Linked DNA regions of Caenorhabditis elegans. The protein of the gene in region 2 interacts with the protein of the main gene of each other region in a biochemical or structural test. Each region holds a gene or a part of one and is shown on either strand. Other genes may lie near its edges. The genes, in order: stn-2, mcm-3 and lin-7.

Evidence for each region.
Region 1: the proteins of mcm-3 (region 2) and stn-2 form a complex in vitro, tested with the Caenorhabditis elegans proteins (one study listed by BioGRID).
Region 3: the proteins of mcm-3 (region 2) and lin-7 form a complex in vitro, tested with the Caenorhabditis elegans proteins (one study listed by BioGRID).

The regions. Positions count from the first base shown.
Region 1 is NC_003284.9:7,671,049-7,682,180, reverse strand, and holds stn-2 (PDZ domain-containing protein), read left to right. Parts: upstream 1-1,561; 5' UTR 1,562-1,656; coding exon 1,657-1,692; intron 1,693-1,836; coding exon 1,837-1,909; intron 1,910-2,345; coding exon 2,346-2,479; intron 2,480-2,524; coding exon 2,525-2,588; intron 2,589-2,640; coding exon 2,641-2,706; intron 2,707-3,227; coding exon 3,228-3,324; intron 3,325-3,753; coding exon 3,754-3,817; intron 3,818-3,871; coding exon 3,872-4,020; intron 4,021-4,106; coding exon 4,107-4,275; intron 4,276-4,698; coding exon 4,699-4,824; intron 4,825-4,877; coding exon 4,878-4,943; intron 4,944-4,988; coding exon 4,989-5,153; intron 5,154-5,198; coding exon 5,199-5,291; intron 5,292-5,339; coding exon 5,340-5,459; intron 5,460-5,503; coding exon 5,504-5,629; 3' UTR 5,630-5,670; downstream 5,671-11,132. Other genes in the region: mfsd-8.5 (Major facilitator superfamily (MFS) profile domain-containing protein), read right to left, coding at 6,052-6,144, 6,191-6,313, 6,360-6,461, 6,506-6,573, 6,622-6,731, 6,783-6,923, 6,971-7,062, 8,273-8,589 and 3 more.
Region 2 is NC_003283.11:15,054,473-15,064,688, reverse strand, and holds mcm-3 (DNA replication licensing factor MCM3), read left to right. Parts: upstream 1-5,089; 5' UTR 5,090-5,094; coding exon 5,095-5,303; intron 5,304-5,348; coding exon 5,349-5,441; intron 5,442-5,492; coding exon 5,493-6,857; intron 6,858-6,910; coding exon 6,911-7,563; intron 7,564-7,610; coding exon 7,611-7,729; 3' UTR 7,730-7,970; downstream 7,971-10,216. Other genes in the region: rap-2 (small monomeric GTPase), read left to right, coding at 617-751, 1,567-1,659, 1,714-1,797, 1,861-1,951, 2,649-2,791; nssp-71 (neuronal small secreted protein), read right to left, coding at 3,265-3,399, 3,450-3,514, 3,560-3,673, 4,254-4,305; C25D7.16 (40S ribosomal protein S20), read right to left, coding at 7,971-8,177, 8,223-8,372; C25D7.5 (Metallo-beta-lactamase domain-containing protein), read right to left, coding at 8,515-8,811, 9,494-9,660, 9,706-9,868, 9,932-10,035, 10,078-10,216.
Region 3 is NC_003280.10:14,342,072-14,352,245, forward strand, and holds lin-7 (Protein lin-7 homolog), read right to left. Parts: upstream 6,722-10,174; coding exon 6,521-6,721; intron 6,003-6,520; coding exon 5,845-6,002; intron 5,786-5,844; coding exon 5,710-5,785; intron 5,286-5,709; coding exon 5,091-5,285; 3' UTR 3,773-5,090; downstream 1-3,772. Other genes in the region: ddl-3 (TPR_REGION domain-containing protein), read right to left, coding at 584-669, 1,001-1,178, 1,224-1,582, 1,631-1,763, 2,210-2,373; Y54G11A.9 (Core domain-containing protein), read right to left, coding at 2,635-2,772, 3,075-3,227, 3,541-3,654; Y54G11A.17 (L51_S25_CI-B8 domain-containing protein), read right to left, coding at 6,915-7,124, 7,171-7,335; elof-1 (Transcription elongation factor 1 homolog), read left to right, coding at 8,106-8,221, 8,271-8,409; agl-1 (Glycogen debranching enzyme), read right to left, coding at 8,806-9,669, 10,042-10,174.

The DNA.
Region 1 (11,132 bases), on a different chromosome or scaffold from region 2:
ACCGTAGACACCACGGGGACTGTACTGCGTACTATGCGCTGGAAATGACGCGCAATGGAGTGCAATAGAGACCAGCATATAACTATTTCAATGAAAATGGGAGATTACTTATTTAATAATCGGTATTTAGGTTTTATAATCTCACATTTTAAAAAATAAACTAATTTTTCCATCAAATTTTCCATATTAATAATACGTGATACACGTGTTCCTCTTCAAGTTTAAGTGGTTTTCCAAGAATAAAAATGCAAAAGGATTTCGAACATTTCCATTTCTGATAAATTAAAAAGGTGTTATGATTCACAACAAGGTTTAATAAATAACAAAATACGTGCGTACTTTGAAAACAGTTATATATATCTAATTTTTAAAATTAAAGTTCATGTATTTTGTCGTTTAATTTTTGACACTATATGAGCGGGTTTAAACAGTTTTCCTACTGAAGGTACTCCGTTTTTAATTTATATAACAAGAAGAGCTACAAAACACTTTGTGGTTTGTTTCAAGCAGAGAAAATGTGATCACACATATGTACTCAAAGAAAAAATCACAATTTTAGTCTCTCTTGATGACTCAGTTGACTAAAGGCAAAAAAGTCAGCCTCGTTTGCACAACAACGATTGTGAAATATATTCCGTTGCCTTTCTTTTTTGCCAGTTGCGGAACATTTTCATATGTGTTTGCGCCGCCGAAAATCGTCCATCATTCGAAATATGGAAAGCGAAACGATGTGTCTTTGTATCTTCAAAACGGCATTTCTCAATTGAAGCTCAATGGCTCATTGACATTCGAAGTGAAGACACAGTGTAGGGTCACGGCGCTAAAATGCGTGTTTTCCCATTGTTTTAATGGGGAAAAAGGACAATAAGAGTAGAAAACGGCAATTCGTCAAAATGATTGATTATATTCATCAATTAGTTTGCAGGAAACAACATGCAGAAATGTGGAAAAGATTTCAGTGAAAGTTTCAATTAGTTTGGAAAATCACTAACTGTTGAATATGAATAAACAAATGGAGAAAAAACAGGGATGTTAAAATTTTTATCAAAAGTCACTCCTCAAAAAGGTATTCCGTTGCGGGGAATCGAACCCCGGCCTTATGGGTGAGAGCCATAAATCCTAACCACTAGACCACAACGGAGATGGGTGAGCAATGGTCGCTGCTTAATGATAAGAGTACAGAAAACTTTGTGACTGTGAACAATGTGTAGAAAATTTTATCAGTCAGAAAGCAGCACGCGAAGAAATTGAGAAAAATGATGGTTGCCTTTCCGGCAATCTCTTTGGCAACAGTTCCAGAATTTCAGCTCTTATTTTATATCTTTTAATCAGTTTTCAGACTATGATCAAAACTTTGTTGGATGTTAAAAATATTGGATGACTCGTTTCTGATATTAAAAATTCAAACCAGCTGTTTATCATCTTGTTTCTCACTTCCTTCAACTGCTCGTTTTTGCTGTTCGTCTATGATTCCGCATCTTTTGCTGTTGTAATGTGTGTATTACACCGCTTCCGATGAGCAGATAGGATAGATTGGAGCTCGGGCGCTTCAAAGTTGACTCGTGTGAGGTGGCACACACACACGCATCTTTAGTCCCTCTAGTTCATTGTCCTTCATTTTTGCTACATTTTATATTCTCTGTTAAACAAGGCTAAATGTCCGTTACGAAATCACACCATAATCTGGATGTGGTAAGTTTAGCAAATATTATGAAATTGTTGGTTTTTAATGGGCATGTTTAATTTTTGTATAGTACATGCCAGCAATCTGAAGTCTTATGAAATACAAGACTTGACAATATGTTAAATGAAACAAATTCCAACAAAAAATTTCAGGTTCATCATGGAATAGTACTCATTAGTGATGGGAATGCCACTTCTAGATCGTCACGACTGCTTTTATCCAAAGGTAAGAGGAAATTAAAATGGAACTTGAAATAGAAATAAAATGGAACCATCAATTTTTGAATGTATGCATTTTTTCCACACTTCTCACATGGGGCCTATAAAAGCCGCACAATTTGCGAAAGCGAGAAGGGCCTGAAAAACGAGGAGAAATGGGGGAGAAAAACGAAAATAAAAGAAAAGTGTGCAATGACGGCCTCAACTAGTCGTGTGAAAACTTTATTAGGCAGCTCATGGCGCGGAAATTGGTGCCTAGCCTACAATTGAGTTGTTGAGAAAAGAGGAAAAAGCTGTCAGGGTCCCGCATCTTCGTTTTTGTCTTGCGCTTCCTTTGCGCTTTTAAAACTCCAAAAAAAATTTGGTAGAAATGACATGAAAATGGCATGAAAACTATATAAAAAGTCATCCAAAAAAAGAAATATCGTAACATATTCTTGCAGATGAGTTATGTATTCAAGTCATTGACGATGGTACCGCGGAGCCCGAAGAAGCCAAAGAAACATTTCTAGAAAATGCAACTCGGCAAGTTGTCATAGTTAAAAAACCAGACTCGGGGTTCGGATTGTCTATTAAAGTGAGCAATTGAACAGGACCGGTGTAATACTTAGAACTATTGCAGGGAGGATCAGAAAATGCACAAAACATGCCAATAGTAATCTCCAAAATATTCAAAGGATTGCCAGGTAAATCGTCAGATTTAAAATTTTAACATCTAGAAAAATACTTAAATTACAGCCGACGAATGTGGAGAGCTATTTATTGGAGATGCTATCGTAGAAGTAAATGGAATATCCATAGAAGGTGAGGGAAGAAAAAGAACGAGTAGTCTTCATTAGTCCAATCATTTGGTTCCCCTCTGGGAAATAGGAACTGAAAACGAATGAGCGTTCATAGCAAAGACCAAAAAGTTAAACTAGTTTTTTTTTAAATAATAGAAATAAAATGGAACCATCAATTTTTGAATGTATGCATTTTTTCCACACTTCTCACATGGGGCCTATAAAAGCCGCAACAAAATAACTTTTGGCAATTCACGTTCAAAAATTTAACATAAAAATTTAAAAAAAAAAAACAAAGTTGTATTGAATAATAAAACAAGTCATATGCTGTACTTTCCCTATTATACTTGCTCCTTCTCTGTTGGATGGGTTATATATGCCGTCCTAAGTTTCATAACAAATCAATTTTTTTTCAGTTGCCAATTAAAAAAAAACCAAAAAGAACTAACTAAGATATAAGCTGTCAAAATCAAGCAAGGGCATGATGGTACAAGTCTAATAGGGAAAAAAAACGGTAGACTATTTTTTCATATCAACTTCCAGGTCAAAGCCACGACGAAGTGGTTAACATGTTAAAATCAAGCGGTGACCAAGTAACTTTGGGTGTCCGCCATTTCACCCATATGACGCCGTTTCTAAAGTGAGTTTGGTTTTGTGGCGAAAAAAATTTGCTACTCAAGTCAGTCCCATGCATCGCCTTTCTTCCTATTTCCCGCTTCCTTTTTCGATTTTCGACGTGGCGTTACTTTGGCGAGAGGACACACAAAAAAAGTATGGTTGAAAAGAGTGGAAGAAAGAAGCATGAAAAAGAAGGAAAAGGACGAAGAAACATGAGTAGAAACAACTGATGGATTAGAGTGTAGAAGAGCTCTGCGCAGGGGGTGGTTTGAGGCAAAGCACGCGGAGCCTTACGCCATCCTCCCTGATGAATGCTTTTCACTGCATTTGAAATTCAAAAATGTGCGCAGTAGGCAAACTGCCGAGGGACACACAATGTTTTGCGCAGAGTATATAGTTGCATTTGATTTTATATCGGGGTACCAGAGACGTTGGAGTGACTACTTTTCAGACCAGCACAGTCATTGCAACCCGATGGAACATTGGATCAGCTGTTTGATGGAAGAAGTACAAGGGTAAGAAAAAATCCTAAGCTTCCATTTTGAAATTATTTGGAGTTTTTGCTTCAGAGCCACAAAGCGCAATCCGAATCCCGACTCTCCGACTCGAAATGGCAACAACATATTGACGGACGGGAAAAGAAATGGAAAACGTTGACGTCTCTTCCGTTGGCAATGGCTTATGTCACCAGATACCTCTGGGGAACCGACAATATCAGGTTTGCTTCAGATTTTATTTTCGTAATGAATACATACAACGGGGAGCTTTTTGTATTTCTTGTTCAACAAAACTAAAATTTTACAGGACAAACTCTTTCGAAGTTCGTGCAGTAGATGGAAGATCGTCGGGAATTGTGCATTGCGAAGATACATCGGCGCTGGAACAATGGATCTCGCACATCAGCAAACATATATTGTCGCTCAACCAAAAGAGTATAAAAATGAGCAACAAGTACTTGCATCAGAGTGAGCAGGTCAGTATGCAATGATATGACTTCAATGTTTGGTAGGCACGTTTGGTTGCCTTGAAACATCTGTTAAAAATACGACATCGGAATTAAAAATTAAATGTTTTCAGCACACATCAGATTAATGATCCAACATTACTGACTATGAAGCCGTTTTAGGTGTCCAGAGAATTATGGGTCGAATGATGTATTTTCTAAAAGCTAATACAATGGAAATTACGAATTCAGAATAAAACTTTGCTTAATCTAATTTTGAGGCAATTATTTTTGCTTTTGTCTGCTCGATTTAGGATACTTGATGGAAACATTGTTGTTTTTAAAGCCGACTATCTTGTTGAAAATTGAATATTCAAGAAAATAGTCAACTAGTAAATCTACTAACATTATGCACGGTTTTTGCAGTAAATAGTTTAAATTAATGTTTTTTAGATCAGCTACATTGGTTGGGTGAATGAATACTTGAATGATGATGATCAAGAAGAGCTTAAAATCCGCTGGCAACCTCGCTTCTTGATTTTAAAAGGCAGTGATGTCTGCTTCTTTGATGTTCCGCCGGTATGTTTTTTTTTTAATTTTTGAACTTATTTTACATGATTCTTTTTTTCCAGCTAAACTCTGAAGATCTCAACAAATGTGTCTACTTGTACAAATGTTATGATGTTGCTGTAAAACAGGTAGATTATCAAAAAAAGTAGTAATTCTAGAAGGGATATCTACAGGTCCCAAACTCTAGTCCACGAAGAGATAAGCGTGACAATTGTTTCTTAATAGAAACTCCATTGCAAGTTCCAAATCACTACCTGTCATTTGAAGCTGTATCTGCATTTGAACTTTTTGAGCAAGCATATTACCGAACCGTATACAATACCATTTCCCAAATGCAGGCAAGTTTATTTAAATTATTCAACAACAATAACAGTTAACTTTAGTCCCGAACGTTTGCCTGTAACTTTGAAGGAAGAGCCAGTGGAATCGTTTTTGACATTAAACAGGGAATTAGTCTATATGATATTCCTACTAAGGTAATACTATTTCTAACTGTTATTGATATTGATACAATTTATTTCTAGAGTTACATTTGGCAATATCGGTTCAGAGATTTACAAGCCGTTGCTGATGATGGCAAACTGTGTGTCCAGTTATCGTTCAATGATGATCGTTCATTGAATTCCGATAGAATAGAAGTAAAGGTTAGTGGTTTTGCAACTTTCCGAGTCAAGTACTCAAATTGCAGGACATCGAATGCGAAGATGTGGTAACAGTTGTATTCAACCTTCATTCCTTTGTTCTTGCCAGAATTGTTTCCACTGATCCAGACTATTTGAAGGCTAATCGTTATGTTGGAAATGCAGAGGACTAATGATTTTTGATTTTCAAAGCATAAATATTTTTTTGTTGTTGTTCAACTGTTGTTTAAAACAAAATTTGAATCATGAGTTAAAGCTAGGTTTTCAACATTTTTTTATTTCAAACTAAAAATAAAAACAATCTGCATGCCGTAGTCTACCTGTAACTTATGGACCAGTTTTGAGTCATATGCAAAAAATCAAAATTTCATTGAAAACATATGACTTTTTTCAGGTTTCTGGCACAATCAAATTGTCAATTTCAAAAATCCTTTATTTCAATAATCATAAATTCTAATTCTCAAAGAATTATATCGATAACAAGATAAAGACACGCGATGAGTCAAAATCAACCGGTTTCTGTTTGCCGTAATATTGCACTTACAACAGTACTCGAAAACTCAAACAAAGGTGAAATAACAAAGTAAAGAGTTGCCTAATTCAAAGGCTCAATCTTCTTCGTCTCATATTTCTCGAATGGAACCATTCTCACACGCAATATAATCCACGCACTAATAAGGACTACCAGCTGAAATCGTTTGGGTTTCTATTGAATTAACTGCAGCAATACTCACGTTCACAATTAGTATCAACCATGGAATTGAAGGGCCATATAATGTGTAAACGTAGCTCATCAAAAGTGGAGCAAGCATTCGCCCAAATGATCCGGCCATTTGGTACACACCTTGATAAGTTCCCTTGAAATATGAACTATTAGAATTCTATTAACTCATAATATGATACCTGTGGTCTCGGGCCTATTACTTTGGAAAACAGTGTAGTAACGGTGATATTCATAAACGAAAATGCAACACCAAACACCATAATGAATCCAATATAATATACCTGAAAAGAAAATCACTCATACATTTCAGAAACTTAGATCTTACGTATTCATTGACTTTAGTGAGATCTGTACACCAAGAATATTTCTCAGTGTCACAATTGGCATTGCTTCCTGAAAAATTTAAATGTTACAACTTTCATAATTACTTTATAAACTCACCATTTGTCATAAGTTGAACATGATCACTGTAGAACTTGTATGGATAAGTTGCAATGAGCCACACTAACGGGATGGACAGCGAAATAAATGTGAATACTCGGTTTTTCATGCTGAAAATTTTAGATATATATTATAGATAAATTTTTTAAAATGCAACTAACTATCTTCGAACTCCGGTAAATATGAAACAAATGAACATGAATGCCGCAATGGAACCAGCAACGGTATGAACTCCAGCATTTATTGAAACTGATTCTTCCTTCTCCAATCCGAACATCATCATTGTGTATGCGGACCCAATACTGTAATTTAAAACAAAAAATTTTTAGCTTTTATAATTTTATTTTACCTCTCGATGGTAGTGTTTAAGAAAATTTGAGAGAAACGAGTAATAATACATAGCAGAATTGCAATGAAGTCAGGGCTGGCTAGTTTTTTAATCTGAAAATGAAAATTAAAACTACCGCGAAGTGCAAGGGTTGCCAGGCCGATTGCGAAATACGATGGGTCTTCCGCTTTCTCTTATTTCACTAAAACCCCCACACACCAATTTCGCCATATCTAGCCTAGCAAGGCCTACACTATATTCTTTGCAATTTTTTTGGATTCTGGAAACAAAATTGTTTCCTGCTTTTTTATTAGTATCCTATTAGAAAACATGCATTGATAGACCTGCCTGTGGTTTTTTTTCTCATTTTTATTCATAGGCCAAATATGAATGCAAAAAACTTTAGGAAATGTTTTATGATTTTTTGTTTCAAATGTGTTTAAAAATGCGAAAGGCGATTTTTTTGAATTCCCGTGCAGACATTGACATCTTTCCGGTTTTATCAATCGTATTTTAAAAAAATTTAATTTGAAACATCCCTTGTCACGTTTTCAGACGTTTATACCGTAGAGAAAGGTTCTCGGCAAAACGGCCTAGCTTCATAGCATACTCTTGCAACTTCTTAACAACAATTAGGCATTTTAGCTGTTAAGCAAACTTCTGCAGCTTTTCAGACAACTTTTACAATTTCTTAGCAGATGTAAAGCTAAATTTCGCTCACAATCCCGTTGGTTTTAGCAACTTCTTAACAGCTTTTTACAAAGTTATATAAATGTTTTTATTAAGTTGCAGGAGTTTGCTATAAAGTTGCGACGTTTTGCCGAGTTGAGATTTAAACTGAATTTTCAATTTTCGAATAAACTAGGCAATTCATTTGCCGGGGAAACTAAAATCAATTTAGCCTTTTCAATTTTTTTGAAAATAAAAAAAACCACTTTTTTCTAATTATCAAGCTTGATAGAGAACAGTTTCAAAAAAACTGTTGCAAAGCGTGGCAATTACTTACTATTAGTTCTCCCCTAAAGCTGAAACCAGAAAAAAAACAAATTTTTTACAATTTTGATGTTCATAGTAAGTTTTGATAATTTGCGCCTAGATACTGTAAAAATTTTTAGGCGCAAATTCGCAAATTTTGAGAAATTTGTGAATTTGCTTAAATTTTTTAAAGGGACCAAATTGTTTAAGAAATCGGCAGATTACCACAACTTTGAAGGAATAATTTCAAAACATTTGAAATTTTACAATACGTTTTTCATGATACTGGTCAATGGCTATAAAATCCTGATGTTACTTCACCTTGACAGTTTTAACTATTCAACTCACTTTTTTCTCTCCATTTTCTTCATCTTGCACTATATTTTTACCATGGTTGATAATATATTTTTCCACAAAAGCAAGCTTCACGATCAGCAACCCAGTTACATTGAGAATAAGGCAAAAAAGAGCAGGAGAGGTATAAATGCTGATGTTCAACCCAAGAATGTTAATTCCGTTTTCTCCAAGTGGAGAGAAAAGTAACTGTAATCCAGGCCCCATCATGGTTCCAAGTGCAATTCCTCCAGAAACACACGCAATAGCACGAGAGCGATCTTTTGAAGTAGAAGCTGTTGAAGCATAAGCTCTAAGTAAACTCATGTTTCCTACAAATTTCGAGTATTTATTCAATTTTTTATTTTTTATTTTGAAAATTCACCTGTGCCTCCTCCAGCAATGAGTCTAGCCAGCATCATAACGTATAAGTGATTGCTGGACAAATATTGCAAACTAAGATATGTGATATTTCCAAAAGCCATAACAATAAAGCCGACTATTAACGGAAATCTCACTTGACCTATTCGATTGCTCCAAAATCCAAAAACAGGACTAAAAATCGCTTGTGAAACGCTGTACATTGCAACTACAATTCCAAAACTTGTTTGCGTTACATTATGTTCCAGCTAAAAAAATTAGTCTAATTAAATACCTTTATGTGACTCACTGTCAAAATATATGGATACATAGATGTGAAAAATATTGCAAACTGTGTGGCTTGTATGAACGCACATGATCCAGCTAGGTAGATGGATTTCCAATCAGTTTTATCACTGGGAGTCTTAAAATTTTAAAGTTTTGTTGAAAGAAAAGGACAATGAAACAAAACTCACGGGTAACATTGCTTCAGTTTGATCAAAATTTGACTGACCAATACTCCCGTCATCTAGAATTTTCTCTCCTGTTTCAATCGTGTCTCCTCCCATTTCTGGAATTTATGTAAATCCGTACTTTTGGTGATTAAGTGCGACTTTTGATGCGAGAAAAAATGTGCACTGCCGTCATGTGAAATATAGAAGATCAGCGTGGGTTATGATCTTGAAGTGACTCAGATTCAGAAAAATCAAAAATAGAAAGGAATAACATCATCATATCAATTCTCTAAATGTTCATGTGTCTATTGGAACCAAACGTTTAATTTTCCAAATGCTTTTGTTCCCCAATGGTTTCATATTCTTTAACATTTTATTTTGTTTACAATTTTCTTTTTTTTTTCAAATAAATTTTGCAAAATTTTGGTATACTGTTTGCTGAGAGGTAACGTTTTCAGTTTGAAAAGTATAGAAAAATGGAATCGAAAACAAGAAGCTGCGGAGAGTGAACAACTATTTTTCTTCTTTGTCGACACAGAAGTTGCGAAATGAGTGTTTAAAATATTTAAGGCTTACAGTTTAATGTTTTAAAATTTTTTAAAATTTTTTAAAATTCCTTTTGCTTTCAAGGGTTGCTTTCAAAATAACAGTAAATTTGTTTTGGCTAATATGTAGGTGTTTTTAAATATATAATTACTTTTTGAATGCTTTGATTGATTGATTTATTTTAACATAACTAATGCAATTTACAACTGTACAATTGAATTTTGAGTGTTAAATAAAACGGTAAAACGAGACTAACCCAGAAAGAGTACGTCTCGAGGATGCTTTATATCTCCACCTCCAAATACCGTATTTCCATACTAGTATTCCACCCCGCAGACTGGTGCGTGCCAATCATTTTGACAAATTTTCAACTTTCAGTATTATCGATTACAATTTATGAAAGGTCATTATTTAAAAAAACATCAGTTCATAAGAATGCCTACTTTATGGTGTGAAAAGAAACGGCAGCAAACGTGCATTTTGCACGGAAAAAAGATATAGGTCCCTTCACTACGAGATATTTGCGCGCCAGAACGGTAGGCAATATGGTTTCTTAATACGTGTGTAGTTTGATATTTGCTTTCCGAACATACAAGCGGTTTTATGGTATATGAGCAGCAGCCCTTTCCGATCGAGGTCCGCGATCGACTTGCGCATGTGCCGGGAAACCGGTTTTTCTTTTATCAGTCGTGGCCCTAACATTCCTGTAGATATCAGAGTTTTTGGAATAATAATTAAGAATTGAATATAAAACGTCTGTATGCCTGTTTGCCTGCAAACTTCTAGTGTCTGCTTTTTTATTTTCAATTTTTGCAATCAAGAAAGACAAACAGTTTTTTAAGTTTGGACTAAAAGTTTCAAAAATTCAACAATAGGATACTTACGCTATTCTACCGAAAACAATCCTGAGTGTTCTATAATAGTTGTTAAAGACACATACGTCCCTCAAAACAGACTAAGCGTTGTTGAAAGACTTTTAGTAAGTGTAACTAAGTTGTAAGAAAATGAATCTGAGAGCGCGTTTATTTTGAGTTAATAAAACTGTTTATTTATTAATTCCTAAGTTTATTTAGCTCCGGCCTGATTTTCCAGAAGAGCTTTAAACCGAATACACTTGAGAACTCATTTTTTGTTTGTTAAACCCCGTGATGTTAATGATGTCACCGTAATGAGCACGAAAACTCATAGAAGTATTTTATTTAGTCTTGCTCGGTCTTGCTTCTTCCCCTTCAAAAAAAATGCGCAAATAAGATTCTTGTTCGTCTCAGCTTCGGCAGGTTAGCTAAACTCAAAGACACACTACTTTTCTGTCCATTGTTGTCCGAAGAGGTATCACTTTCAGGTGAATGTTCCCTAGAAATTCTATACAGAACAAGAAGAAAAGAAGCGGACAAGAAGAAAATGATCGTAATTTGCTGACTCATAACTTACAAATAGCGCGTACGTCAATGATACGCAGCAATCAGCAGCAGCAACCGTGTCTTCTTCATTTTTTCTCTCTAACCAACAATCCT
Region 2 (10,216 bases):
GAATTAATATTTATCCAATTACTGTCTCGTTTAGAGGATTTCTAAAGTTTTTACATTATTTTTCTGTTAGTTTGTACACCTATTGACTGAAAATGTGCCTAAATTATCAAAAAATTAGATATAAACGACCGAAATTTGCAAAACAAAGGAGCTTTAATACATAAATATTGATTTTTCGACCGTTGTGGCTCTGAGAGGTTGGCAAATTTGAACATTTCAGCTAAAGATAGCTGCCCAAAAAATTTGCTACTCCACTTTAGAATCAATTTCAGCCTGAAAACTTTTCAAATCCGAGGTTTTAATTTCAGTTTTCCTATTACTTTTCAACATCAAATTGCCGAGAATGTTATAGCAATAATGAAATGAAAAAAGGAAGACGAACGAACGAGAAACAACAAAAAAACTTTCACAATTTCCATTTCATTCATACCATCATCATCATCTCTTCAAACTTCCGTTTCATTCTTTCCCATTTTTTCCGGTTATTGTTGTCTGTGTGTGTGTGGTGATGTAATAGTTCTACTACAATAATTCGTTCTTCTTCTTTTCTCACTTTTCCCACCACATTCACAATCACACCTAATCCAATTTATTGATTTTCAGCAAAAAACTCTCAATGAGGGAGTTCAAAGTGGTCGTTCTGGGTAGTGGAGGTGTCGGAAAATCGGCGTTGACGGTGCAATTTGTCAGTAGCACATTCATCGAGAAGTATGATCCGACGATTGAGGACTTTTATCGCAAGGAAATTGAAGTGAGAGCGATTCATTTTATTTTAAATTTAAAAAAAAAAAAAGAAAATTCGGTTGAAATCATGGCGCTTGAAATTTTCAGAATGGTTTAAAGTTTCTAAAAATTCATTAAAACATTATATTAAGCTTTGAAATTGAAAGATTTTAGAACTCCCATTACTTGCTCCCTGAGAAAAAGAATTTTACAGTTTTTTCCTACAATATTTGATTTTGTAGCATTTTTACTACTTCTTCATGTATTTAAAGCTATAAAAGTTCTTGTTTATAGGATTTTTGGGGATTCTATGTGTTTTTCGGCGAAAGTCTAAAAATTATCGGTTTCAGTAGTTTTTAATCAAAAAATCATCAGTTTTCTTGTAAAAAACTGGAAAAAAGAGAAAATCTGTTGAATACCGAACGAATTTGCAAAAAAAGTCAAAAATCGAGCATTTTAACGAAAAACTGTAAACTCCTTCTCCTCGGGGAGTACACGAGCGATCGTAGCTTCAAAATTGCTTTAGAATTTTAATTTTCCCAAAACTCCCTTTTAAATGTTAGAAACTAGTAAAAAATAGTGCAAAAGCGTTTTAAAAATCTAAATTTGGAGAAATTCGCCGAAAAATTGCCGAAACTAGTCATATATATTCTAAAATCCAAGAAAAAGGAAAATTAGACTGAATATTCGTAAAATCTGGTAAATTCGAGCCAAATAATCTGGAAATTAATAGAAACCGAGTAATAAGTTCAAAAAAACAATTAATTTGGGTAATTTTAAGCAAAATAAATTTAAAAAACTACGGAAAACAGAAAAATTAGAATGAAAACAATCAATTTCCAGGTGGACGGTCAACCATCAGTACTGGAAATTCTGGACACTGCAGGAACGGAACAATTTTCTTCGATGCGGGATCTTTATATCAAAAATGGACAGGTAAATCTTGAATTTTAATTAATTATCTAAAAATTATTTTTAATTTATTTTCAGGGCTTCGTTGTTGTCTACTCGATCACCAGTCAACAGACGTTTCATGATATTCGAAATATGAAAGAGCAAATTGTCAGGGTTAAGGTTGGCTTTTAACTTTAAAAATGTATTGAAAAATTGTGAATTCACTAAAATCAATTTCTTCAGGGATCCGAAAATGTGCCGATTTTGTTAGTTGGAAACAAATGCGATCTTTCACATCAGAGACAAGTACGATCAGAGGAAGGATTGGCGTTGGGTGAGACTTTTTTAATTTGAAAAATCAAATTTAAATTTTAAAAAAATATACGAAAAACTGATATTTTGAAAAGAAAAATAGCCGCAGAACCTCTTACACAGCTTTGTGTCGATTTACGCAGCTCGTGTACTCCTCGAGGAAAAGGCTTTTACAGTTTTTGGCGAAAATTCTTGAATTTACGCTATTTACGGCAATTTGTCAATCTATTTTTCATTCATTGTGTTTCAGGTGAAAATAAACATATTTTTCTGCAATTTTTAATTGCAAACACAACGATTTTCGCCTGAACCACTGCCAAAAAGAGTTAGATTCAATGTATTTGGATCGGAGAACTGCAAAAAAAAACAAAAATTTTGCTAGTTTTTCAACAAGGAATACAATTATTTTCACTCTAAACAATGTGAAGCTCTCCTCCTCGGGGAGTACAGCTTCGTAAATCATTGCATGGCCATGGTCAAAAAATATTTTGTTAATCGGAAAACGAAAGCTTTCGATTTCCAGAAAATTCAAAACACAAAGTTTTTAACATTTTATCAAATTTTGTTTGGGAAAAAAGTTTATTTTAATAATACAATTTACTTCTAAAAAGAAAGAAATTTTAAAGTCATTTTCTGGAAAAATCGATTTTTTTTCAAAATAGAAAGTGATACAATTTTCAAATAAAACATTATTCAAATAATTAATTTTGAAATTTCAGCCGAAAGTTGGTCATGTCCATTCACTGAATGTTCCGCAAAAAACAATCAAAATGTGAATGTCACATTTGCGGAAATCGTACGAGAAATGAATTATGTGCAGAATAAATCAAGACAAAGCAAATCATGTTGCTCTCTGATGTGACCCGAAGCTTCATCCCCCATCCCAAACATCCCATCCCATCCATTCTCCCTGTTTTATGATCTTTTACCCCTCCATATACCCCATTCAATCGATTCGTTGGGATTCACAAAATTGCTCATTTTATATCCATATTTGCACATGTAAATCGTCCACGGTCGTGTCACTTTCTATTTAAACCTGCGAGAAATTCGATGGCGAAAATTCGAATTTCAATCAATTTGTAGATTTTTTACGGGCTCACATTTTCTCTTTTTTTCCCCCATTTTTTTGTCAATTTTTGATTGATTTGCATGACTTTCCTTCTTTTTTTTCCACCCAACCCCTTTCCATACAATTTTCGTGTGCTATGAACATGATGAACTTGCTCCAATTTTTTCCCGATTTATTTCACTAAAAAAAAACAACCTACTGATGTTTTACAACGAATTCAAAAGCCAAAAATGGCACAAAAACTTAAATTAAATTTTTTGGAATTAGAAAATTAAAAAGTAGGAAATTGCAGGAACGACGATGGAGATGAGAATCGAGAAGCTCGTTGGACTGGAATTACAGTAATCTCCATTGCAAGTGTAGCATTGTCCGGTTCCACCTTGGGCTTGGCATTGCGTCTGGAAATTAATTTTTGCACGAAAAAATATATAAATTTATTTTTACTTACCATAAGCTGAGTACAGGCGACCAGGGCATTTCCAGGATCATTACATCCTTTAGTGGTCTGACGGACTGAAAATTCAGATTTTACAGATAATTTCCAGGCTTAAAACTCACATTTCTTCGGATTGTTCACTTTACAGTCGAACTTCATGCAGGTGTAGATGTTTCCCGGGCAGACTTGAGTGAACGCATTGAGAATACTATTTTGGACGAAGCATGTTGTGGATTCTGAAAAAAAGTCAATGTTCCAAAGCTCCAAGGTCTCGCCACGAAAGAAATATTTGCAAATCGTGAAAGGTACGCGCCTTTAAGCGGTACAGTAACGACTTTTTTTTTCAGATTTTTCGGTTTATTTTCAACTTAGTTTTCAAATAAACATTTTTGAACCCTGGAAAAACTGTACCTCTTAAAGGCGCACACCAAGCCCCTTAGATCAGATCTCGACACTACCCATTATTAAATTTGCAAAAGTGTTTGCGCCTTTGAAGAGTACGGTAGTTTCTAACTTTTCTCAGAACAGTTTTCTCCTGTTTTCTAAAAATTGTTTCATTCTCAAGTAATTTCACTTGTGTAATTATCATTTTTTGATACTTAAAAAACGGAAGAAAAAACTATAGCAACTAAATAAAGAAAACCCGGAAACAATCTGAATACTACAGTACTCCTTAAAGGTGCACACTCGTTTGAAGAATAGTAAGCTAATAGATTTTGTCTTAAAAAAGTCGTTTCGAGACCCGGTACAGTACTCTTGGAGGCAACACGTTCAAAATTTCGCCAGTCCTGTTATAAATCTAGATTCAATTCTCACCTGTCTCTGAAATCCAGAGTACCAGAATCGAGATTGCGAGTAGAAGTTTCATGGTTTCGTATTCGTATCGTATTGCGAATATAAAACGAAAAAGCACAGAAAAAATAGCTTTGTGAATGAATGAATGAGTGAAGGCCCGAGCGGCGGCGGGAGGGTCCGATAGATGTTGTTTCAAACGGTTTCCAATGGTTTCCAGCACGCGGTGCGCTCAAGTTTCTAGGAGACAAAGTCAAAGCACTTAAAGCTTTACGGCATAAATTTTGTGTATATGTGTGCTTTTGTGACCACTTTCTTCCCATTTCTATGTATAAATGTATTACGAAAGGTGCGTCCTGGGGGAGGCAGGGAGAAAATAAGAAAGATGGGATGAATAGAATGGAAAAGCATCTGTGTCTGTGAGTTTGTGAGTACTGAAACAATAGATTCCATTTTTGTGATTTGTTATGAAAAATTGAGGAGATTTTTGGAAGAGATCTTTTGCATAGATCACGGGCACAAATGTTATTGATGTTTTTTGAAACTTGAAATGACAATTTTGAACTGATAATTTCAGACAATTTTCATTTTATTCCAGGCATTTTTATTTAAATAAAATTATTTCGCTATTAATAGCTATTTAAAATAAACATGTTCAAACATCACTTTCAGGTGCATTGAGTGCAGCGTTGCGTCATGGTGTTTACGGAGCGAGCGCGCGAAACCTTGCTGTTTGAATGAGAAATGCGCGAATTTGGGCCGAATTTTTCTATTTTCCCCGCTCTTCTCCGTGCTTTCTAGTTTCTATTCGTTTATTTTTTAATTTTAAGTTTCTTTTGTTAAAAACATCTTATTTTCAGAAAAAATGGACGGACAAGCTGATGGAATGTTCATTGATCGTGCCGAGGATGCTCGAAAACAAGAAATCACGGAGCAGTATCTCAACTTTTTGGACAATCAAGCCGACACTTTTCACTATCGTCAGAAAATTGTGAAAATGATGAATGATGGAGAAAGTCGTTTGGTGATGAATCTCGATGAAATCAGGGAAATTCTACCAGAAAGAGCTGAAGGGTAATTAATAAAAAATAAAGAATTCCCGAGTATTAAAGTTTTCAGGCTATTGACCCAAAGCGTTCTTGAGATGAATTGCTTACAATCTGCACTTCAAATGGCTATTAATCGTAGTGATGTTCAAGCTGTTGTCAAAACGTGAGTAGCTTTTAAAAGCCGTTTTTGTTTTTAAACAATTTGTATTTTCAGTGGATTCCACGTCGGCTTTGAAGGAACTTTCGGAGAGCGCCACGTCAATCCACGTACTCTCAAATCATCATATCTTGGAAACCTTGTCTGCTGTGAGGGAATCGTCACAAAGTGTTCAACTGTTCGTCAAAAACTTCTCACTTCTGTCCACTATTGTCCAGCAACAAATAAAGTGCTCGAGAAGAAATTTGCCGATTTCACTATGCTCGACACTGCAGTCACCAATAACAACTATCCAACAGAAGATGAAAATAAGAATCCTCTTGAAACAGAATTCGGACATTCAGTTTACAAGGATCATCAAACGTTCACAATTCAAGAGCTTCCAGAATCCGCACCAGCCGGTCAACTTCCTCGGGCCGTCGATTGTGTTGCTGATCTTGATTTGGCAGATCGCGTCAAGCCTGGAGATCGTGTCCGCATCATTGGAGTCTTCCGTGTTCTGCCGAATAAGCAGAATGGAGTTTCGTCTGGATCCTTCCGTTCGATCATCATCATTAATCATATTCAAATGCTTTCAAAGGAGGTTATTCCAAACTTTGAGCCACAAGATGTTAAAGATGTTCGTAAAATTTCAAAGTCAAGAAACCCATTTGAGCTGCTCGCTCGGTCACTTGCTCCATCAATTTGCGGCCACGAAGAGACAAAGAAAGCGTTGCTCTGTTTGTTGCTAGGTGGAATGGAAAAGATTCTGAACAATGGTTCTCGTTTGAGGGGAGATATCAATGTTCTTCTCATCGGAGATCCATCTGTTGCCAAGTCTCAACTGCTTCGATATGTTCTTCGTATGGCCCCAAGAGCTATCACCACAACTGGACGTGGATCTTCGGGTGTTGGACTTACTGCTGCTGTTACTACTGATCCTGATTCGGGAGAACGTCGTCTTGAAGCTGGAGCAATGGTTCTCGCCGATCGTGGTGTCGTTTGTATTGATGAATTTGACAAGATGTCTGATATTGATAGAACTGCAATCCACGAAGTTATGGAACAGGGACGTGTCACAATTTCGAAGGCTGGAATCCACGCGAAGCTGAATGCTCGTTGCTCGGTTCTGGCTGCAGCAAATCCGGTGTACGGACGATACAATCCATTCAAATCTCCAATGGAAAACATCGGAATGCAAGATTCACTCCTCTCGCGTTTCGATTTGATCTTTGTACTTCTTGATGAGCATGATGCGGACAAGGACGCTAATGTCGCTGAACATGTGCTCAAGCTTCACACTTACAGAACCCAAGGTGAAGCCGATGGAACTGTTCTTCCGATGGGTGGAGGTGTTGAGACGATCAGTACAATCAATATGGAGACTAAGAAGGCGAGCAGCTCGATCTATGAGGAAAATACCCAATGGGCTGGTATTCAAGAGTGAGTTTCTTTTATAAAAAAACAATATAAATTAATTAATTTCTCTATTTCAGCACGAAAATCCTGACAATGGACTTCATGAGAAAGTACATCCATTTGGCAAGATCAGTTCAACCAAAACTCACCGATGAAGCTACTGAGTACATTTCTGAAGTATATGCCGATATTCGTTCATTTGATATCACCAAAACTGATCAAGAACGAACAATGCCTGTCACCGCTCGTCAACTCGAAACATTGATTCGTTTGTCAACTGCTATCGCGAAGGCAAGATTCTCGAAAAAAGTCGAACGAGAGGATACTGAGAAAGCTTACAATCTGCTCCACTTTGCCTGTTTCAAGGAGAAGCCAAAGGCTCGTCAAGAGTATGAGAAGAAGAAGCGAGCTCCACGAATTGATGGTGACGATGATGAGGATCAGAGCGATAACGAGGACATGGCAACATCGGAAGAGCCTCAATCTAGCTCCGTTCCGACTGCAGCCACCCCGCGTCGTGGAGTCAGAAGGCGTGCTGAAGATGATGATAGCCAGGATTCTATGATGGATACTACCATTGGAGAAAGTCAGCCAACTGCTAAGAAAGCACGTACTGGACCGGCTGCCATCGGAGTTGATCGTTATAAGGAGCTTCGGAAGTACGTCAGAAAGGCGTTCGACGACATTGGAAGCACCGACGATATGGTTGAACTTCAAATTATCACAGACAGTAAGCAAATGTTTCATTAAAAATGTTTATTACAAAAATGTTTTCAGGTGTTCAAACTCAAGCCGGATCACACAAGTTCACTGAGGATGAGCTGAAGGCTGGATACGAACAATTGGAAAACGATAACGCTGCAATGATTGCCGAAGATAAGATCACTCTCATCTAATTTCCTGCTGGAAGCTGGAACATAAGCCCCGTTTTCTTTTCGATCTCTCAATCAAATCATTATTTTATCCTTTTTTTCACCTGATTATCATTCCTATTTCATTTTAACTAGGGTCTCCTAATCCACTCACATTGATTTTACATTGCCTATTGTACTATGTTGTCTCTCTCTTTTCTCTTTATTCCTCCCCCTATTATATCTCTTTATCAATCGCGTAACCGGATAAAAGAAGTACTCTTGGTCATTGATTCTTTGTGGAGACTGTCTGAACGCCGGTCGACATGCGAGCCTTCTTTCCACGTTTCGCTGCCTTCTCCTGTCGATACTGAATTCCGGTACATCCGAGTCGATGGTCACCAACCAACGGAATGGTGTTCGCTTGAACCGCTTTGCAACGATTTGTGTCAGGGAATTCCATTGGCTTCAATTCGATTCTCACATGAATTTCCTGGAAAACAATTATTTGGAAAGGAATGAGAAAGTGGAAACATACCTCATTTTTCTTGAACAAAACTACATTCGTCTCTCGGATATTTCGAGTTTTTATTCCTTTCAGCGCCTCCAAAATTTTTTGCTCAATTGTTGGAATTTCATTCCAATTAACACGAATTTCAATCGATTGTTGAACGGAAGAAGACGTCATTTTTTAGATTCGAAGATATAGGAAATACATTTTTTTGGAACGATTTATTAGCTTTTTTTATTTTGAAATGTTTTTCAGCGTGAACAAAAAAATATAGAAACCCGCTTAATAAATATGAGAAATTAATTATTTTCGAATTAATTTAACAGTTTGCATTTGTCCTGTGCAGTTGTGTGACACGGAACGGAGAAGAGCTCGCCGGGACAATCCAATCAACTTCACAAATCACCTGATTTCGTGATTCGATCAATTTATCGATATCATACACGGAATTCCGATCGAAAACGTTTAAATCGTTTCCATTTGGGAAGAGGGCGCCGGCGATTGCAATTGTTCCCATTAAATCCACGTTTCGAATTATTACGGTTATTGAGTTTGGAGTGGGTCCGGGTGTCGACTGAATTAGAGAATTCGGAGAGCATAATTCCAGAATTGAATGCTGAAAATGTTATTGTTAAATCGTAAAACATTTAATTCGGAAAGCAATGGGTCTCGCCACGATTTTCGAAATTTTGCTATTTGCAAAAAAGGCCTTTAAGAAGTACAGCAACCAGTTTCTCCATTTTCTTGTTAACTTTTTTGTTGAAAACCTATAGAAACGAAAAATACATGTTTTTATATACTTGAATACAGTTGTGACGTAATTTTTCTACACTTTTTAATTTTCCGACATTACTTGAATAACCCCATTACAGTAGTCCTTTGAATACGCACACCTCTTTTCGTGAATTCTGTTTGAAAATACATCATTCGTGGCCAGATTTAAATATACTATTTTGAGAATTTTCCCGCAAAAATAAAAAAAAAAGCTTGCAGATTCATTGGCCGGAAAATTATAACTACAAAAAAACCAAATCCTATTCCATTTTTGCAATCATAACACGATGCCCGGTCTCGCCACGACAAATTTTTGTTCCATGTGAAGAGGTGTGCGCCTTTAAATATTACAGTAATTTTACATGTTTTCTGTTCGAAGCTGCATTGCCCTTTAAAGGCGCACACCTTTATGCATCTAACAAAAATTTGTCGTGGCGAGACCAGGTACCGTATTTTTAAAGCAAATTTTCACAACTGGCCGAGAAAATGAAGAAAAAAAACTCGGTCATCAATCAAATTCCCACCTTTTCAAATCGTTTCATAAAAACGATATTATCCTTGTACATTGTGGCGTCGGCCATTATGAACTGTGAAAATGGGAATAAATTCAAATTTCCTGAGAACTGAGGCTGTGATGACGTCACCACTACAAATTTTATTTTCTTTGCTGGAGCACCATATGATGCCAAATCTGAAAACATTATTAAATGAGCCGAATGGAAATAGTGAAACAAACTTTTTGAGATTTGTTTTTTCTGAGACGGCAGCCCGGTATCTACCACAAAAACGCATGCACCATCCCGAACGAGAACAGAATTTGTATGAAGTTTCAGAGAGTTTGAGTAGTTTCCACGGCTTAACGACGGGATTGTGAGCATTTGAAGAACAACGTTGGATTTCTGGAAAAAAAAAACCGAAATGTATCAGATTTTACGCGCAAAAAAATTCTTAGAAACCCATACTTTCACCGGTTGCCGTTTTCTCGTAGTTGTAACCGTCGTGGTCGTGGTCTTCGGAGTCGTTAGAATTACTTGATTTTTGAAAGCAGCATCACTTTCTAGTTGTTCTAAATTTCCAGATTTAAGACAATTCTTCTACCACAGCTAACCTTTCGAACTCCTGATATAGACACTATAGTCGTAATGTGATTGCCTTGGATAAAAGTTCCAGTTCTCTGGATATGATTGCTTATTCTGATTACCAACCAACCTAACCAGCAGTTCAGGTGTTCCACAACACACATAATC
Region 3 (10,174 bases), on a different chromosome or scaffold from region 2:
GAATAGAACTCGTTTATTTCTTGACGTTTTTTTGAAATTTTTGTGATTTATCAGTGCAAATTTCCGTTACCAACGAAAGTTGGATTTGCGAATGAAGAAAAAAAATTGTTTCAGCCGATAAAAAAGCCTGAAACTGGCAATATAAAATTTATATTTAAAACAATTGACGTGAAATGTTTGAAATCTACTGGATTTTCAAATTTTAGTCAGATAACGTGAACTTTGCAGTTCGAAATGAAACTTAGCTCTAATGATAAGAGGGAGGGATTGCCACGTAAACCCCGTTCTAGGACAGTGTGAAAGGGTACTTTTGAACTATACGCACTTAAATTTCCATTAATTTATCGGTTTTAATTAAACCTGATACCCATTTTAGGCTGAGGAATGATGTTTTCCTATTAAAAAACACCATATAAGCCTAAAACTACAAAAGCATTCCACACGTTTTTATTTCATAGTTTAAACAATTAATTTTTAATAATACACAAGTACCAAAAAAAGTTTTAAATGTTCAATTTTAATATTTAGTATTCATTAATTTTTCTAATTTTTAATTAAAACATTTTATTCTTGCAAAGCTTACCGATTTTTGAGCACTAACGTTGCTCCAAAGTTATTGAGCATATTTATTGTATGTGCCGAGCTGGCTCCGTAGATTTGATACGATATCTGAATCAAGGGTGTTGTTTTTCTATTTTTCGGCTTTACTAAAAGTCAAAAAAAAATTTCGGTAAATTTACCATAAAATATTATTTTTTTTTAAAATCAAATTTTGTTTATATTGATGAGGAAAAACATTAAAAGGGGTACCAAAAAGAAGCACAATGGCCAAAATTTTAAGCTAATTGTTGAAAATTGAAATAATATTCGAAATATCGGAAAATCGAAAATGGAAATTTTTCGATTTTTTAAAAAATTTTACAGTACGGTATTTAAACATTTTCAAAGTTTCCAGTTAACAGTGCTGCACAGCAGCTCAGGTTCAGGGTCGACTACAAACCTTCATGACTTCATCAATATATTCTTCAACTTCTGCCATCCGGGTCTCTCCGCAATAATTAATCAAAAAATTCGCGTACGCTTCTAACGTCATTCCAAAAAGTGCAATCGGGTCGGTGTACATTGGTCCAAACGTATCGACAGTGTGTCGGTCTTCGACAAGAGCTCCGTGAGCAACACTGAAACATTTTTCTAAACTTTTTTAAATACTTTATACAACAAACCTAAACTTTTTCATATGCTCTTCCATAACCTTCATTTGTCTTCTCACACAATGCTTGAAACCACTTTCCGCGCTTTCGAGATCACCTCGATGTGCCAAGATGTCGGCAAGTTTCAGAGAAACTCCGATAAACTCCGGGTCAAAATCTTTTTTTCCGTGAAGCTGAACGAGGCGCTGAATTACAATTCGAAAATATTTATCGGCTTCGTCCAAATTCATTTTCTCGTAAAAAGTATTGGCCATTTCATCGTAGACTCGTGTGATTGGCATATCTTCTTTCCGCTCTTCAGCCTCCTCTAGTGCCAGTTGTAGTACTTGAATTGCATCGTCGTACTGGCGTCGTTTCCGGTAAAGCCAAGACTGGAAAAAGAGGAGGGTCTCGCGAGGAAAATGTTTCTGTACAATTACCTGTTTAACCTTCTCTTTCAATGGATCAGCATCCAGCTGCACCTTCTCAATGCCCAACACATCCTTGATAGTTGTCATCCATGAGAGAGCGAGTACTGTAGTTCCGCCGGTCGCTGCACTTTTTCCATATCTACTGAAATATTGATCTTAAGAATTTTTAACTCAATTTAATTTATTTACGTATGCGTAGAATGCGTATTACACAACATATTTGCCGAGCAAAATATCTCGTTGGGAAAATTACAGTAATTCTTTAAATGACTATAGTATACTGTAGCGCTTGTGTCGATTTTCGGGCTCAATTTTCGCTATATTCCATTTCCTTCGTTTCTTCGTATTATTTTCTCATATTTTGCTTAATTTCAATATTCTATCGATAAATAAACGATTTAAATTAATTTCGAAAATCGAGCCCATAAATCGATACAAGCGCTGCAGTAGTCATTTAAAAAAATTGCTGTATTTTTCCCTACGAGATATTTTGTGTCGAATACGTCGAATATGTTGCGCGATACGCATTCTCGGAATTTTGTGTGCTTAAAAAAGAATCTGAAAAAAATTTGTTTCCAAAAAACTCACGACCATCTCCCGCCACCGTTGGTTTTTCCACCGCTGCCCCCATGACGATGATGCTGCTGTCGTGACCGCCCCGAGCTATGATGCTGACGTGTAGTCCCGGTGGAGAAGGCGGCCGCCACAGGACGGACCGTAGACGTACATAACTTGGACATGGATGGCAGCATCTGCATTTTTTTCAGGTTTAGGAGACATTTGAATAAAGTGAATCATTATTAAATAGAAAATACGGTGGGAAACCGGAGGGAATTGTAAAAAACAAAAAAAAATATCTGAAAATCTTATTAATAATTTACGAATTTAACCCGACTCAAACAACGATCTCAAAAAATTGTCTACTACTACAAAATCACTAAATAATAACTAGAAAAAAATTCCTAAAGATAAAATTAATAATTACAGAAAAAATACAGGGACAAAGGGAAAATTTAATCCATTTTCGGCGCAAAACTTGATCCACAAGAGCATCCTTTTTCGGCAATCGGATTATTGACAATTCGAAATGAAGATTTCATTAAATCTTCCACGAAATCCACGGTGGCGCCTTTGAGAAAGCCAAGGGAGAGCTGAAAATTACAATTTTTAAAAACACAGAAAAATTGAATGCTTTAAATTTTTGTTACACGAAAATAGATTTTTCTAATAAACTTTTTTAATTGTTTTTCTTATTTTAACATTTTTCAGAAAATTTTTTTTGAATCGAAAAAATTGCCTTTTGGGCGAAATTTTCTAAACCGTTGTTTTTAATTTTAAAATTTTTCGGCAAAGTTTAGAAAAAAACCGAAAAAATTGACTTTTGTGAGAAATTTTTTTTGAATATTCGCTACGATTTTTCTCATCAATTTTAACATTTTTTACACGTTTTCACCTCATCCACCACAATTTCAGCTCCATTCTCTGATGATTTCCATAATAAATCGTCGTTGTTAATTTTTTTGTCCAATCGAATTTTATACTCAAATCCCGAGCATCCACCTCCATCCACCTCAAGTCGTAGGCGTTCTCCGTTATCAACGACTTCCTTGAAGAATTAATTTTTTAAATTAAGGTTTTTTTCTAGTCATTGAAAAAAATTGAATTTTCGAACAATATTCACAAAATTTTTTAACTTTCTTTTTTGAAAATCGGGGTTTCTCTGAAAAGCACTACAAATCAAAAGTATACAATTTTTTTGTAAAAAAAACACCGGAAATTAAATGCTTTGAAAAACTTTGAAAAATAGGAAAGTGCCGATTTTTTTCCGAAAAAAAAAACTGGAAAATCGAAATTTCTCGTTTTTCCATTTACAATATTTCTAATTTTCAAAAAAATTGGGCGCCCAAGGACAGACTAACTTTAAGCCTGCTCGCTGCCTTATTCGTCACTTTAATCTCTTGCTCGGTGAGCATCCGATGAGCCTGTCGGGTTACTGTACAAGCCATTAGTCTGCCGATTTTTTGTGTGAGCATTTCGAGAAAATTCTGAAAAAAAAATCTGAAAAAAGTTGAATTTTACATCAAAAAGATAGATTTTCGTGATTTTTGAAACATGGAAAATATTTTTTTAAAAATGCCGAAAAATGAAAAAAAATTATTTTAAAAATTTAGTTATTAAAGATACATGGAGAAAAGCACCTATTTGAAAGAACGTAAGGCAAAGCAAGATTATTAAAGCAATTTTTGGGCAATAATTTGGGGAGAGGGTGAGTGTTGAGATTAACATTGTTTTGGAAATTTGTCTGAAAACGGAAAAAGAGATAATAATGTACATATAGGGATATCTAAAAATCTAGAACAAAGAATAGAAGAGAAGAAGTTAGAAATGAGTATACATGAACTGGAAAAAAATAGAAAAAATAGGGATTTTATGGTGGAAAATGCAAACTTTTCAGCGAAAATTTCAGTTTCAAGAAAAGATCTTTCAATATTGCTACAAAAGTTCTATTTTCTCGGCTAAACTAATCAATGTTTGCAGAAAAATGCGAACTCTTGCAGTAAAACATTGAGGCCACACGAAAAGGGGAGCAGAACGAAAAGGGGATCTGCAAAAAGGGGATCTGCGAAAAGGGGAGATACGAAAAGGGGAGCAACGAAAAGGGGATCTGGCACTGTGCCAAGCGCTATTTTTCTCGAAGAAAACGATACAACGATGCTCCGATGTTACGCGTCGCGTGTTGTTAAGCGTATCTTCTAGAAGAAAATTTCAAAAATCAACGTGCGTTGCGTGAGAAAAATTGCGTTTTGTGCGTTTGGCACAGTGCCAGCTCCCCTTTTCGTTGCTCCCCTTTTCGTATCTCCCCTTTTCGCAGATCCCCTTTTTGCAGATCCCCTTTTTGCAGATCCCCTTTTCGTTTTGCTCCCCTTTTCGTGGGGCCTCAAAACATTTTGATGCAAAAATTTTAGAAATATTGTTTTAATGTCCATTATCTATATTACGGGAGCACATGAATGCGTATTGCACAACATAATTGACGCGCAAAATATCTCGAAGAGAAAACCACAGTAATTTTATAAAGTACTACTGTAGCGCTGGTGTCGATTTACGGACATCATTTGAAAACATAAAAAAGACAACAAAAAAAAAAACGAAAAACCAATTCGAACACAAATTTGTATAAAAAATAAAAATATATTTTTTTGTTTGTTTTTTTGTTGTCTTTTTTTTGTGTTTTCTTTCGATATTTCATCGATTAATAAATGATGTCCGTAAATCGAAACAAGCGCTACAGTAATATTTTAAAGAGTTACTGTAGTTTTCGCTACGAGATATTTTGCGCGTCAATTATGTTGCGCAGTACGCATTCTCGAAATTTAGTGTTCCCGTAACATTTAGTTTTGTTGTGGCTTTTTTCGTATTTTTTCCAAAAATTCTCGAATTCTTGATTTCTACAAATGTTCCGTCTTTTTTATCTTCGTGGATTTGTCGAAGAAGACGGCGTCGGGAGTGTTGGACTCTGCTGAGTGGATCGAATTCTCTGTCTTTCGAATCTCCGCTCCATTTCATCCAGGAGTTTCGGCATATAACGGATCACTAGCTTTACACTTCCGACTGCGGATTTCAGAAGATCAACTGCTTTTTCGTGGCATTCGGCTTCCACGTTCTGAAATTTTTTTAAAGTTATTTTTTTGAATCAAAGTTTTTTTTCTAATTCGAGTTATATTCTTCTACTAATTAAAAGTGTAGTTGTTTTCAATTTTAAAAAATGAGAATAAATTGTTCATTTTTTCGAAAAAAAATATTAAGAAAAATTTATAATGTTCTTTTATATGGAAATCTTCGTAAACCGAAAAATTCTGTCTTTTATTACTGGTTCCTTTACTTTTTTCCGGTTTATTTTCTGAAAAACACTAAAAATCTGAAATCTTCGATAAAAAAACACTTAAATTAAAGTAAGTTTCGTTTTTTGCTTAAAAAAATGAATTTTTAGATTTTTTTTTCATTGAAAAACATTGAAAAATCAATATTTTTCGATGTTTTTTTTCCGAAAAAAACTAAAAAAAAATTGAATTAAACATTTAACCCACCACTCCGTTGACCGCAATAAGTTGATCGCCTCGTTTGAGACCTCCGTGTCTGTCGGCTACGCCACCAGGGATTATTCTGCAATTCAAATCGTTTTTTTTAAATTATAAAATCATTAAATATTTTTATATCTGCACCTGGAGATGTAAATCGGTGAATTTTGCTCCTTGCCGCCCATAACATTGAATCCAAGCCCTTGATCGGTTTTTGGGAGCTCAACGATACGTGGATGCGCGTGGCCTTCGGCTGCAGCAAACGCCGCCACTGTTGCTTTAGCTGTTGCGGCGGCTTTTATCTGAAAAATGTTTAGTGTTTTTTTTTGTTTTCTGTTGTTCAAAAACGGCTCAAAATTATTTCGAAAAATAAAAAAACTACAATTTGAAATTTCGACAACTTTTAATTATCAAGGTTGGCGGCAATTGTCGCTCGGCTTTTTTTTTGCCAAATTCGGCAAATTGCCGATTTGCCATAATTTGCATTTCCGGCAATTTGCCGATTTGCCGAAAATTTTGATTTTCGCCGAACTACCGATTTTCCGGAATTTTTTGTAGGGATTTTCATTATACGGAAACACTTAAAACTGTGCCTTTTTGAATTTTTTAAAATTTAAATTTTGAAAATTCCAAAAAAAATGTGCAAAACCACAATTTGCAGATATGGCGGAAGTATTAATTCGGACAGTTTGCCAATTTGCCGGAATTATCAATTCCGACAATAAGCCGATTTTCCAGGAATTTGAATTCCGGCAATATGCCGATTTGCCGGAAATTTCAATTCCGGCATTTTTGTCAGTTTTATCAAAAAAAACTGAACCTCTGGCGTTGTATCCGCATCAATTGATTCATAAACAGTCTCATAGACCTCTCGGACGGCACCGAAAAATTCGGATTGTAGCACCTGCTGCAGCGATGCCAATTTTGCATTATTGACCTCTCCAGTCTTCTGAACGTGCTCCATGAGCTCTAGAATACGCTGAACGTCCCGCTCCAAATTCGGACCATCCGGGTTATCCATCTGGAAGATTTGGTTGGAAAGGAGGGGAAAAATAGGACGGAAATAGGTAAAAATGGCAAGAAAACCAATTAAAAATTACAAAATTAAGCTATCCAGAGCGGAAAAACATTATTTACTATTCTAATTGACCATAGCCCGTCAGAAAATTATTAAACACAACAAAACCAAAAAAAAAATCGACAAAAAATTAAATTTAAATTTCATGTCGCAGCGTGTGCTTCTGAGACAATTCCAGCGGAATCACATTGAACGTCATTTTGTACAAATCCACGTCTTTCCTATACTCGTATCCCTTCATCTCCTCAATTTCATAGTCCGGATCGCATTTTTCCTGGGAGATACGAACGATTCCGTCGCAATGGGCACGCAGAAGACGTTCTCCGCGATCGTTTTCATAGTAAACCTGAATAACTTCTCAATAATCAAAGATATTTGATAATAAATCTTACATTTAACCCTGGATGATAATTCATTTTGAATTGATTCACCAGCAAATCGTCTTTTCGCACAACTTCTCCGTCTTTCCGGAAAATTCCACGGAACGGGAGATTCTTTGGTGGTCGTAGAAGTCCGCGAATTTGTTGAAAACTACCGGTGAATCCCTTGAGGCCCATCTGAATATTTAAATTTGAATTTAGATAATTTTAATTGTTAAATTATAATTTTGAGTTGCATTGCATCACTAGAAAGATATTTTATTGAAAATTAACGTTTTTCAGCATTATTTAATGCTTTTTAACGATTTAAACAATTTTCTCATTTAATTTATTGATAAAATATTGAGAAATGTTTAATTTTAAGCATAAAATGAATAAATCCTGCTCCGGAAAGTCCGATAAATGCTTAATTGTTTTGGAGACTACGGTCAACATTTTTTGTACGCAGTACGCAACGTGTACTGCAGACCGTAGTCGAGAAAACCTGCGCATCTAACTGTCTTCCTCGCGCCAATTTTGTTTCGAAATTTCTTTTTTGGCTGTTTTTCGTGTTACTTTTTGCCGGATTTTTGCCGTTTTTATATGATAGAAATATTATGTTTTGTGTCAAAATAGGTAAATTTTCCATATAAAACCTGATGATTCAAAAAATTTTGTGAATTTGAAGTCCAAAAATGTGGAATTTCAAGCCGACACTCACGAAAAATTTTCACATTGTGCATACGTTATAGTTTTTAGAATACAGAAAAAAACAATATAGTATTTCTGAGTGTCGCATTTTTGAGTGGTTTGTATATTAGTATATTTTCTTGCAATTTAAATGTAATTTTCGAACTTTTTTTTCGAGATTGGAACATATTTTTACCTTCTGCAAAAATATTCTGTTCTTTTTACGTTTCCCGAACTTAATAATTGTTTTTCAGAACCAATCCAAACAATCCGCAGCAATGGGAAAGCGAAAGTCGAAGAGAAAGGCTCCAACCAAGGCAAAGGCTGTAATGCCACTCGACACCCAATTCAACTGTCCGTTTTGCAATCATGAACGCGTTTGTGAAGTGAAAATGTACTTTCTAAGGAAAATCGTTTCAAAAAAAAACGTAATAATTTTCCAGGGATCGCGAAAAGAATGTCGGTTATATCTCGTGTCGTGTCTGCTCTGAAGACTTCCAAACAAACATCAACTACCTCTCCGAGCCAATCGACGTCTATTCTGATTGGGTGGATGCCTGTGAGCAGGCAAATAACGCCTGAATATTCCCCATCCGTCAATCTTAAATTCTTATACGACCTCCTTATAAGCCTCCAAAATCCCCATCGCGTTGATCTCTTTGCTTTTCTCAGTAATTCTATTTCCTTCTATCCCCAATTCATCCACACACTTTCTGGATCATCATTGCAGCACGCCTCGAAAACCGGTCCTTCAATTCTCACGAGAATGGTATCCTCGAGCTCGTTTTTGTGTGTAAATAACCAAATCAGCACATCACCATTTTTTGTACAATACTTTATTTTTCATCATTTTGTTTCAAATTTCTTTGGCTCAAAGCTATATAAAAAGTTGAACTTAAAAATCAAAAATGGTAAGTTAGCTAGAAATGCAACAAGGAAATACATGCAATATTCTGAATTCTAAAAAAAAGGAAAATATCATCCCTCGATAGTATTAAGTTTTACACATGCTTCAATCAGGCAACCGACGGACCACGCCTGGGCAGCACAACTCTGCATACAGTATTCTCCATCAGCATTTGTCAGTTCCGGTAGTGACCTCCATGGTGATGAAATGATGTGCTTGTAAGCATTGCCGAGTCGCTCCTGGACTTGCCGGATCGCATACTGCTTTTCGGATCCTCCGAGGATATCACCGATTCTCAGCCGAGCTTGGAGATAATACCCGGCGACGAAGAGCCATTCAGGGCCCTGATGATAATTCCATCCTTTTGCCGTCTTCTTGTCAGTCCCATCATCATCATTGTTGTAGTAGCCGTTGTAAGCCCAATCTGTTGGATCAAGGGTCTTCATTCCAAGTGGTCCAAGAAGAACTTCAGCTGAATCCAATGCCTTCCATGCTTTCTTAGGATCCATAAGATCTGGAGCAACTGCTAATGCAATTCCAAAGTTGCAACGAAGCTGGAAGTCGGTGAATCCTAGTGTGGAACCGACAGAATCCTTGATGATCTCCCGACGATTTACAAACTCCGCATAGGAATCTTTATCAACAAAGAACTCCTTCTCAAAGTTTTCTCGGATCTTCTGAGCCCAGAAGCCCCACGTCCACTCGTCGCTAACTCCGGATCTCTGGATCACACCTTGCTCCTTCCAATTCTTCAAGCTTTTCAGTGCTCTGTAGGCAAGTCCCTGTAGCTCGACGGCCGCTCCATCTCTCGGCGTCGCGGGTTCTCCTTTATTTCCGGCTCTTTCACTACTTCCCATCTTGTCCATCCATGTTCCACAATTCCAGCGATTACCGCCGTAGATGAAGCCTGTGGTGCGAGAGACGCCGGCGGTCACCTGGAATAGAGGACGTTGTCAAAAAAATTATTTGAAGAACGAAAATGTTTGATTTTATTTTGTTCGTTTTCCCCCGAGAATTTGAAAGTTTTTGTTTTTGGAAAATCAAAAACGAAATGTTACGATTTTTCGGTATTCCGAGAATCAAAAAAGAGATTTTTTTCAGAAAATCGAAGAAATTTTTTTTTTAATTCTATTTTTTTGGTTGTTTTTTTCAGAATATTTTTTGTCGATTTCCAGTACATAAAAAAAAGGAAAAAATATTTTTTAAATTAGCAAACTAGTTCAGAATTATTTCAAAATTTTGCTTAAATTTGTTTACCAGAAAAAAATTTCAATTGGTTTTCGAAATTGAAAAAACAAAAACTGTACCTGGAATCCCTCATCTCTCATTTGTTCGTCGATTTGTGGTCCGGCACTTCTCTCCCTGTAGTCAATCCCAGCGAAATGCTTGTCAAGTGCCTCATAAATAGTTTCAATAAGCATCTGTTGCACTTCTCCCTCT